Mus musculus: one gene and its partner. The protein of the gene in region 1 purifies or fractionates together with the protein of each later gene. This does not show direct contact. Links are inferred from orthologs where the notes say so. Each region holds a gene or a part of one and is shown on either strand. Other genes may lie near its edges. The genes, in order: Akap7 and Prkacb.

The links.
Region 2: the proteins of Akap7 (region 1) and Prkacb purify together in Homo sapiens (affinity purification with mass spectrometry; 4 studies listed by BioGRID and IntAct, counting the BioPlex papers as one, with this or other methods). This does not show direct contact. The link is inferred for Mus musculus from reciprocal best matches to the Homo sapiens genes AKAP7 and PRKACB.

What each region holds. Positions count from the first base shown.
Region 1 is NC_000076.6:25,294,219-25,298,729, reverse strand, and holds the start of Akap7 (A-kinase anchor protein 7), read left to right. Parts: upstream 1-1,650; 5' UTR 1,651-1,802; intron 1,803-1,993; exon of another isoform or gene 1,994-2,832; intron 2,833-2,838; exon of another isoform or gene 2,839-4,269; intron 4,270-4,511. UniProt on the Homo sapiens protein: Probably targets cAMP-dependent protein kinase (PKA) to the cellular membrane or cytoskeletal structures.
Region 2 is NC_000069.6:146,809,865-146,814,427, reverse strand, and holds the start of Prkacb (cAMP-dependent protein kinase catalytic subunit beta), read left to right. Parts: upstream 1-1,481; 5' UTR 1,482-1,744; coding exon 1,745-1,790; intron 1,791-1,797; exon of another isoform or gene 1,798-2,227; intron 2,228-4,563. UniProt on the Homo sapiens protein: Mediates cAMP-dependent signaling triggered by receptor binding to GPCRs.

The DNA of each region.
Region 1 (4,511 bases):
AGGGCTCCCCAAACTCTGAGGGGGAGAGACTGGAAGGAGACTTCCAAGTAGAGAGCTTTCAGCTCAAGTTTGGTGTGGGTCTCTGCATCAGCTCCCATCAGCTGCCAAAGGCAGCCTCTCTGATGACGATTGGGCTAGGCACTGATCTATGAGTACAGCGGAATATCATTAGGAACCATTTGCGATTTTCTTTTTCTTATCAAAGGTCTCTGGGCTGTCCAGCCTCTGGTTCCTGGTCATGCTGTAGTATCAAGCATGGGCTTCCTTTTGTGGCGTGAGCTTCAGACTAGAGCAGTCACTGGTTGGCCACTCTCCCAAGATCTTTGCCTCCTTTGCCCCAGCACATTATTTCAGACAGGGTAGATTGTAGGTGAAAGGTTTGGGGGCTGGGTTGGTGTTCTGGTTCCTCCACTGAAGTTATATCCCAAGGCTAAGGATTACACCACAGATGTGTGGTTAAAATAGAAACACAGCGCTTTGGTTTTGTTTTGTTTTTAAAAGGAGGGAAATCCAGGAGTGGGCTCTTGAGCTGAAGGAAGACACCTCGCCCCCAAGCATCAGACCACACATGAGGTGCAGAACCCACGTCTCCCAGGTCTGTAGCGTCCTTTGTGAAGCCCGAGGAGGGGGGAGTGGGGGTAGTGCTCTACTCTTTGCAAACTGGCTGTCAACCTTGCTGTGTCAGTGCACTGCTCCTACTCCCCAGTTACATAAATACACCTTTAAAACAGAGTGGGGAGTAATCCTTACAAAGAGAAATGTATAGTCTACTTCCAGCAGGAAAAGGGAGGGCAAAGAGTTGTTTCTCTGTCTACTGCGTAAAGTAATCCTTATGCTTAAACGTCTTATCTGTACCCTGTCCAGTCCAGCTAGCATCGGCTGGCCTTTGAGGATCCTCTTGCCGCAAGCTCCCTTACTTATTTTTCGTTCTTTCTCTGTGATTAGATAGCCTGCTCCTTTAAAAAGACCGTTTTCCGTGAAGATCCACAAAAAGGGGCTAAGCAGGGAATTCTTCAAAGTTCCCTACCAGCTTTAAGGGCTACAGCTGTGGAGAAGAGACACACCACCATATTTTCTTAAATTAAAATTACATTCCCCAACAAACCAGCAGTAATACCACCATTTGCCCCCAGCCCGGAAAAAAACAGTAGCATTCTTTTCTACAAGACATATTCATATTTTAACTATTAAAAAAAATAGTTTTCTCTTATTTTATTCAGATACTGAGGAGCCTTGCCTGCAAAAAATTTGTAGATGATTTCATTTAACAATTCCAACTTTTAGCTCTTAAACTGCTGTTGAAAATGCTACTTTTGGGGGGGGGGTAATGGCAAGTAAATAAAAGCATCTCATTATAGCGACGTTCAAGGTCTCGCTATTGTATTGTACATTTTGCTCAGCCCGCCTATTTTGCAATCAGATCTGTGTTTCCAAAGCTCCACGCTAAAGCAAACACACGGGTTCTCAAGGGACAGCGGGCCAAGGAATGCTCTCTGGATCCCTGGCTCGCCCCTCCGAGCGTGGGACGGGAAGGGCCGCGCCGCAGGAAATAACCGAGGGCGGCCAGAGGTCGGAGCCCGAGCCCAGCACGGCCCCGGGGACCGCCCCGATCCGGGTATCCACGCCTCGCCGGGCCGGCCCCTTCCGGCTCCTCCTGAAGCGGCGGGTGCCGGGGATGCTGCGACTCGCGGGGCGTTGCGCCTCCGCAGGCCTGGCCGCCGCGGCCCGCGCCCCCGCCGTCCCGCGCGCCCCGGGCCCGCGCCTCCGTCTCTGCGCCGCGACCATGGAGCGCCCCGCCGTGGGTGAGAGCGCTCCGCCCTGCGCGCCCCGGGGCGGCCTCTGCCGTGGGGCGTGCTCGCCCGCCCCGCTCCGCCTCCCAGGCCGCCCGCAGCCCCACGCCCCTCGCGATCGACCCTCCCCCTACACCCTGGGCATCCCGGTCCAGCCCGGTAGTCCGGGCAGTTTGGTTGCATCCGTGGGTCTCCGTGCACCACTCCACTCCTCGAACCGAAAGGGGTGTACACACAAGTTGTTGTTTCTCTTACCTCTTCCTATCTTGTGACCCATGACCCAGAGTTTTGCAGCACATCCTTTCCTACTGTGTTGGGGAGGTTAACAAAATCAAGGGGGGAAAAAAAAAACTCCGTTTTATTTACCTAATTATTTTTTAAAATGGCAAATAGAAGCCTCTGAACACTGTCTTGTCTCATTTAGGGTTTTACTCGAGGCTTGGCAAGGCACACTTTAAAACGGGCGCCAATCTGCTGGCGCCCAGGATGTACTTCAGCTTGGGTCAACTTTCGTTGTATGCTGAACCTGGGTAGGAATTAGAGGTTGGACTCGGAGGGAAAGGGACTGGGAAGTAAGGGGAAAAAGGTGTTCTACAAGAACACCTACATGTATACAAAGCGTAAGAATATTAAAATAGGCAGTCCAAGCATGCTATGTAAATACTTTATATGTATGTAAATATAAATCAGGTGAATAATGTACATGCGTTTATAAATTTCATGTGAATGCAATTACTCGTATCACGTGAGGAGATGCCCAGAGTGTCCCTGCTTGAGATGTTTTTATAAGGTTACAGGAGTGTGGGTAATAGGCAGAAGGGAATAGGGTAATAGTTGGAAAGAGAGGACTCTTCTCACCTTTTTACACCGTGTGGCTTTGCAGTTTGGGATGCTGTTAGCGCATCGTTTCCCTATAGTGACAAAGCTTATGGCACTTGTCCAGTTTACTGGGTCCTTCCATTCATGTAGTGTCGATTTGTCAATTTCTCCTTAATAATTTGGATTGCTCCCTCTTCATGAGGCGCAAATGGAAGCACACTGGGTAAGTGGCCTGGTTGGCATGAAGTTTAAACATTTCTGGAGACCTACTCTGCTGTTTTACGTAGCTAGTCGAAGTAGATAGACCGTAATGAATGACAGGCCCATTCCATAGCTGTTTACAGTGCTGGGGAACCAGAAGAGAGTCTTGCCCAATGAAGGTGTGTTTTGTTGTTCAGATAGGAAACTTACTTTGTAGGACTTGGGCAGTCTGTCTGTCTGTCTGTCTGTCTTTTTTGTTTTCTGTTTGCTTGGCTTTGGTAGTGTTTGCTGAAGTGTCCCTGTGATCTGAGGATTTGAATGCATTTACTTTCTTGGCTTGAGAAGATTCTTTACATACATTCATGGTTTTTCTTACAAAAGCAATATTCACTTTAGAAACAACCTAGTACAGTGGTTGGAAAGTATTTGGCATTCAGAAACACTTCAGCTTTTATTCTTCCTTTCCTACCCGTACGTCTTGGGAACATGCAGTTTTCTAGCTACTTTTTGACTTATGCTTGTTTTTGTAACACTGGGGATAAAGCCTAGGGCTTTGTGTATGCTAAGTCAGCATGACCTTGACTGCGTATCTGCTTGTTAGAGAGTCGCCTTTCCCCCTGTTGTTAGACTCCTCATACCGGTGGTTTTCAGTCACCAGAATGATCATGCACTGTTTAGTTGTTTCTCTGTTAGACATTTAAATTAGTTCCCCTTTTCTCTTTGCTTCAAGCAAGGTTGCGAGGAGGCCTGTTTGAGTGTATGTGAGAGGAACCCAGATTTCAGTAAGACATTTAGGCCATCTTCCGTGCTTCTCACCTGTTGACCCATTGCTTCCTGCCTCAGTTTACAGTGCTGCCATCAGTATATGGTAAAGAGTGATTCTGGAAACTGTGGGTCATGTGACATGTTCACGTGATCCGAATGTTAGCTCCTGAATCTACTTTACTTGTGGGCAGGTTCCTAAGTCGGTGCCTGGTGTAATACTAGTCTTCCCTATAACAGAGTTGTTAAGGTTTAAATGAGTTACTTAGCAAAGTGCGCGTGCCTGGCATAAAGTACCCATTACAATGTTGGCTAGTAATGCTGGTAATGCTAATGTCTAATTAGCAAAACTAGTAATTCTAGTATTGCTAATTTCCAGCTTCACGTCATCATTATTAGTGTAACCTTTACTCCCGTGATTATTTGGATTTTTGGAAATGATACACTTTGTTTTAGTGACAGACCAAATTTTGGGTGACTTTAAAATTCTTTGTGCCATGTGGCTCAGGCTGAGGGTAGCCTTGAACTCTTCACCTTCCTGTCTGTGCCTCCCTGGGATTGCAAGTGTGACCTAACACGCCTGGCTTACACACTTTGACATAGCTTGATGTACTTTGTAGAGTTGAATCTCAGTCTGGTACGCAGCAAGCAAGAGCTCTCTCATGGTGGTAGATCCCGAGCTCCGTTAACTTTACAGGTGAGACAACAATCTCACTAAATTAGTTGTATAGGTTTGTTTGTTTTTTTAATTTATTATTCTGCCTCAACTCTTTAAGTACCTGGGATTGCAGGTCTGTGCTACCAGGCTCAGTTTATTTAAGCAACATTACAGCAGCCAAAACAATGAATTTGTGCTTTAAATCTTAAAGATCGACTGTTTTAAGGCAGTTTTCCCAGAGAGAAGTATTTACAGCTTATGTAACAGGAAGTATGGTTGTA
Region 2 (4,563 bases), on another chromosome or scaffold:
TATTCCAGTTCGTGGTATCCCCCAATTAATAGTATCTGGTGACTAAGGTTATTTTCTTATCTTGGTATGTAAAGGACATTTTCCCCACACAATATGGCTTGTTGAAATGAAAGAGCACCAATGGTCTATTCTGAAGTTATAACCTTTCAATTGATTTTAAATAGAAATAATAAATATACCATTCTGGCGCTTTTTGAGATGGTATGGCTTTACCTTCTTCATTTCAAGGTCTTCTAATTAGCTTTGGATAAGTCCTTTAATGTCTCTGTGCCTCTGTGGATCTTAAGTAAAACAATGATAGTCTTGCCACATTTGCATAGGGACTTTATGAGGAAACTAATTACTATTTGTACAACACTTAGAACGCAGTATACTTGGTGTACATGCTTGGTAATTTAACATAATTGCCAATAATAGAAGTATGAATCTGTTTAGAATCTTCCACTCACCGCTACTTTTTTTCCCCAATAACAAAACTTTTAAAATGTTCTGGGAAATCTCCTTAGCAGCCAACAACCATCCGTTCATTACGCGCCAACTGTGGTTTGTGCTGCAGACACAAAATAAACTTACATGGTCTCTGCCCTTCCAGAAGTTAATCTTTCTGTTCTAAATTTGGAATGCTTTTTTTTTAGATAGCAAAAGCTCAAAAAAAAAAAAAAAAAAAAAAAAACCAGAACAAAAACTACCAGAGGGCTAGGTGATTAATTTCTAATAACCTCACGGAAAAGCTCAAGTACTCTCAGATGCATGGAAGCGCAACAATCAATTGGGAATGCGTTTATTTTGAAATTTGTGACTGTGTTGATGCACATAACGTACTTGTGTAAAACAGGCAACACATTCCCATATCTCTCCTTAGAAAGCCTGACAGAATTTGTGAGGGCAATCAGGTGAGACCATGAAGAAGGAACTCGGGAAGGGATAAGCTGTCAAGAATGTTGGTGATTGACCTGGTGTGTTGGGAGAATACCTAGAAGAGCGAAGGGAAGAAGTTCCAATGACAGCTGGGAGCTGAGAAAAGACATTCCTGGCCAACGCTGACCTCAGGGTCAGCAGGGTCGGCAGGACGCGGAGGGGCGCACGCACGTCCCTGCAGCCACGCAGGAAGATCAAGCGAGAGCAACCACGGCGTGCGGAACGCGGGCCACACGGATGCGGGAGCAGGCCGAGCCCTGGCACTGTGCCCCCCGCCCGGCTCTGGGGCACCGGATGCCAGGCCGAGGAAGGATCTGGGGTGCTTCCAAACTAACGGTCCCCACGTCCCTCGCTACTTCGAGCTTAGCCTCCGCGGCCAAGCCCAGCATCCACGCAACAAGCAATAAGTTACCGCTACAACCCTGCACAGAGGGGCTCCCGCCCGCCGGGGGGCTTGACCGCGTCACTTCCGGCGCGCCCGCCCGGAAAGAGGCGGAGGTCGCAGTCCGGGTGTGCGGCTCCTGGGGACGCGCCGTGTCGGGGACGCGCGTGGAGGGCGGGCTCGGGAAGGGGGAGTGTCCGCGCGCCGCCGCTGCCGCCGCCGCCACCGCCGCCACCGCCGCCACCGCCACGGTCCCGGTCTCTGCCGGAGAGCTCTCAGCATCTCTCCCGGACACCCAGCCCCTCCGTGCAGCCGGACGCCGCGCTCTAGGGTCTGCGGGAGCCTAGCCAAAGCCTAGCCAAAGTTGCTGCCGACTGCGGGGCGGGCGGCGGGACGGCCCCGGTCCCCTCCCCTCCGTCATCCCTGCTTGCGGACTCCCGGGTCATGGGGAACACTGCGATCGCCAAGAAAGGCAGCGAAGTGGAGAGCGGTGAGTCGAGTCGAAGGCCCTGGCTGGGTTCCCGCCGGATGGGCCGCCGCGCGGTGCAGCGCCCTGGGCCGGTGTCCCCCCCAAGGCCGCGCGCGAGCCACGGGCCGGGCCTTGCAGTGGCCGCGGGGGCCGGCCGCCTCCTCCTCTGTCCCCTCCCCCACGAAGGCTCGGGGGTGAGGGCCAAGCCCCGGGGCTCACTGGAGAGAGGGAAGGCGGGCAGCGAGGTCCCTGTGATCCCCTTTCTTACTAGAGCGAGGAGGGCTGCCACGGTCTGGAACGCGTCCCCAAATATGGTCCTTTTGTGATCGCACCCTTAGCTCTTCTTTCTCCCAGAGCCCCCAACACCCAGACCCTCCTTTAAGGGAGCCACAGGTAGTACGTTTGGGTTGACTTGGCTTTTTCTCCTTCTCCTGGATGTATATCAGTTTTCTCACAAGGTGAGTGTCCGTGAGGGTCTCCAAAGGTGACGTTAACCCTTAGTGTCTAAGGCTCTTTCTTTCACCCAAGAGATTAGAGATGGCAGACATAAATACAAGCAGCAACTTTATCCATTCGAGGAAAAATAAGTGAGACAGCGTTGCGTTTACTCTAGACATCCAGGAATGTTCCAGGATGCCTGTAAAACTTAGAGGCATTTCAGAGTTGAAGTGCTTTCTTCCGAGAGCTGAAAGTTCAGACGTTCAGTACTGTGTACAAAATTTCAAGACAAAAGGGTCGTGGGAATTGAGTTTCTGTGTAGCAACTTGGTTTTATATGTAAGCATACACATATATGCGTGTTGTGTAACAGGCTGTGAGAAAATTGTGTGCCATTATTCGGCTCATATTATAATTTATAATTCACAATAATTAGAGAACGGTCCCTGACTTTTGTTACATTGCCATAGGTTAATGACATCTCAGTCCTTGAAGTAAGTCTGACAATTTGTTCGTGTTACTGTAAGTAACGTCTTCCATTGTGTCTGTGTTTATAACAGAAGAATGAAGCCAATCTTGTAATTAGCTTGAAGCAAACAGCTTTTGATTCTCATGAACAAAGCAGAGTTGAGTTGACAGAAGAGAGTCTAGCTATTGCTTTTGTGGAATGTAAACAACAGTCAGATTTAACGGGTTATGTTTCATCAATAAGGTTCGTTCCAGGGCATGGAACAGCAGGGCAAACTGTTGGTGAGCATGTGACAACTTGAAAAGCCGATGTAGAATTAGGACTTCCTTGTTATCTTAGTAATTGTGCAAATGTAGTAACTAATTGTACAGACTCACAAAAAATGAAGTATGACAAAATACTATATCCATGTAACATTGCTTTTCCCCTATTTCTCTTGTACAATGTATGCTAATTGTGTTATGAAAATATGCTTGATAGTTGGATCAGCCCAGTAATTTTCTTAGCAAGTGCTATCTTGCACAGTTCTTATATTTTTAATGATAGTCCACTCTCCAGCAGTCTATACACTTCCCCTAGACGATATGCATTTAAACTAGCAGCTATGACAAAGTCTTGTGTGAACTTATTTATAGAAACTGAAGAACATTAGAATCATTTGAAAAATATTGTGAAGTGTCGAAAGAAGACAGCAGATGTCCCATGGGATATAGGAGACGGTCATGGCTCAGCTCTCAGGGCTCACAGGGGGAAGTGTCAGCCAGGTGTGCTGGTGCTCTTCTGTAGCAAAGAAGTGGTACAATGTCATAAAACGTAATGACAGAACATGGCTTACCACTCTGTCCCCAACTCTTCTGTGTACTTTTCAGATGAATTATTCCTGAAAATTTGTGGCTCATATTTTAAATGTAATCATTTAAATTTCTCTTGATACACAGAATACACTTTAAGAGATACACTTAAGAGTTTAGTCTACGAAATCATCCTAACTCAAGACCCAACCAAGTGCCAGACCTGAAGAAACAAGAATTGAGATCATGTTATCAACGAGAGAGTAAAGAACAGCTCTGAGGCTCTGACTACCTCTGCATCACTAATTAATCTGTCCTCTCTCAGAGTAGCTACCACCTGCTTGGGTTTCCTCGTAGACCTGTGGACAAGATCCTAAAGTGTCACTTACTGTGTAGCATCAGGTGAAAGGCAGAGTGTCAGTGCTGGAGCTGAGAGTAAATTAGACCACAAGACGTTACCAGCAGCACAGTGTTTGGTTTGAAGAGCTAATTAAAGATAGGAAGGTAAGATTTGCAGTTTGATGAGGAAGTGCCTCCCACAGACAGGGAATTCTAGAGCTTAATTCTAAAAATACTCCCAAGGAATGAAGTTGGGTATAAAGGTAAATGAACAGGCTTTGGGGGGTTGTTTTTGTTTTGTTTGGGGGAGGTTGTTTTGTTTGGGTGTTTTTTTTTTTTTGTTTTGTTGTGTTTTTGTCAGTGTTGTTTTAGTTTGCTTTGGTTTGCTTTGGTTTTGTTTCTTGTTAGCTTTGAGCACCCAGGGCCTTGCTCCTACACCCACAAAATTAAAGGATTCCATTCTGATCATCACAGTTTCTAGACATAAATTACTTTGAATTCCTCAGAGAACTGGGTGTTTCAAAGAACAACTTTCGCCATTATATAAGTCTCCCATGTGTTTTTAAAATTACTCTTGAAATAAATGTCTTCCAAAATTTGAGTATACTTATTTTTCATCATTTAATACACAGAACCTTAAACTTTTAGAAACAGGAGGCTACAAGTCTCAGAGATGTGTTCAATCCTTGTAAGTCAAGAATGTTTTATTTTTGAGTTAAGTATGTTATTCACATAGCCTTATTAATACAAAAAGAAAA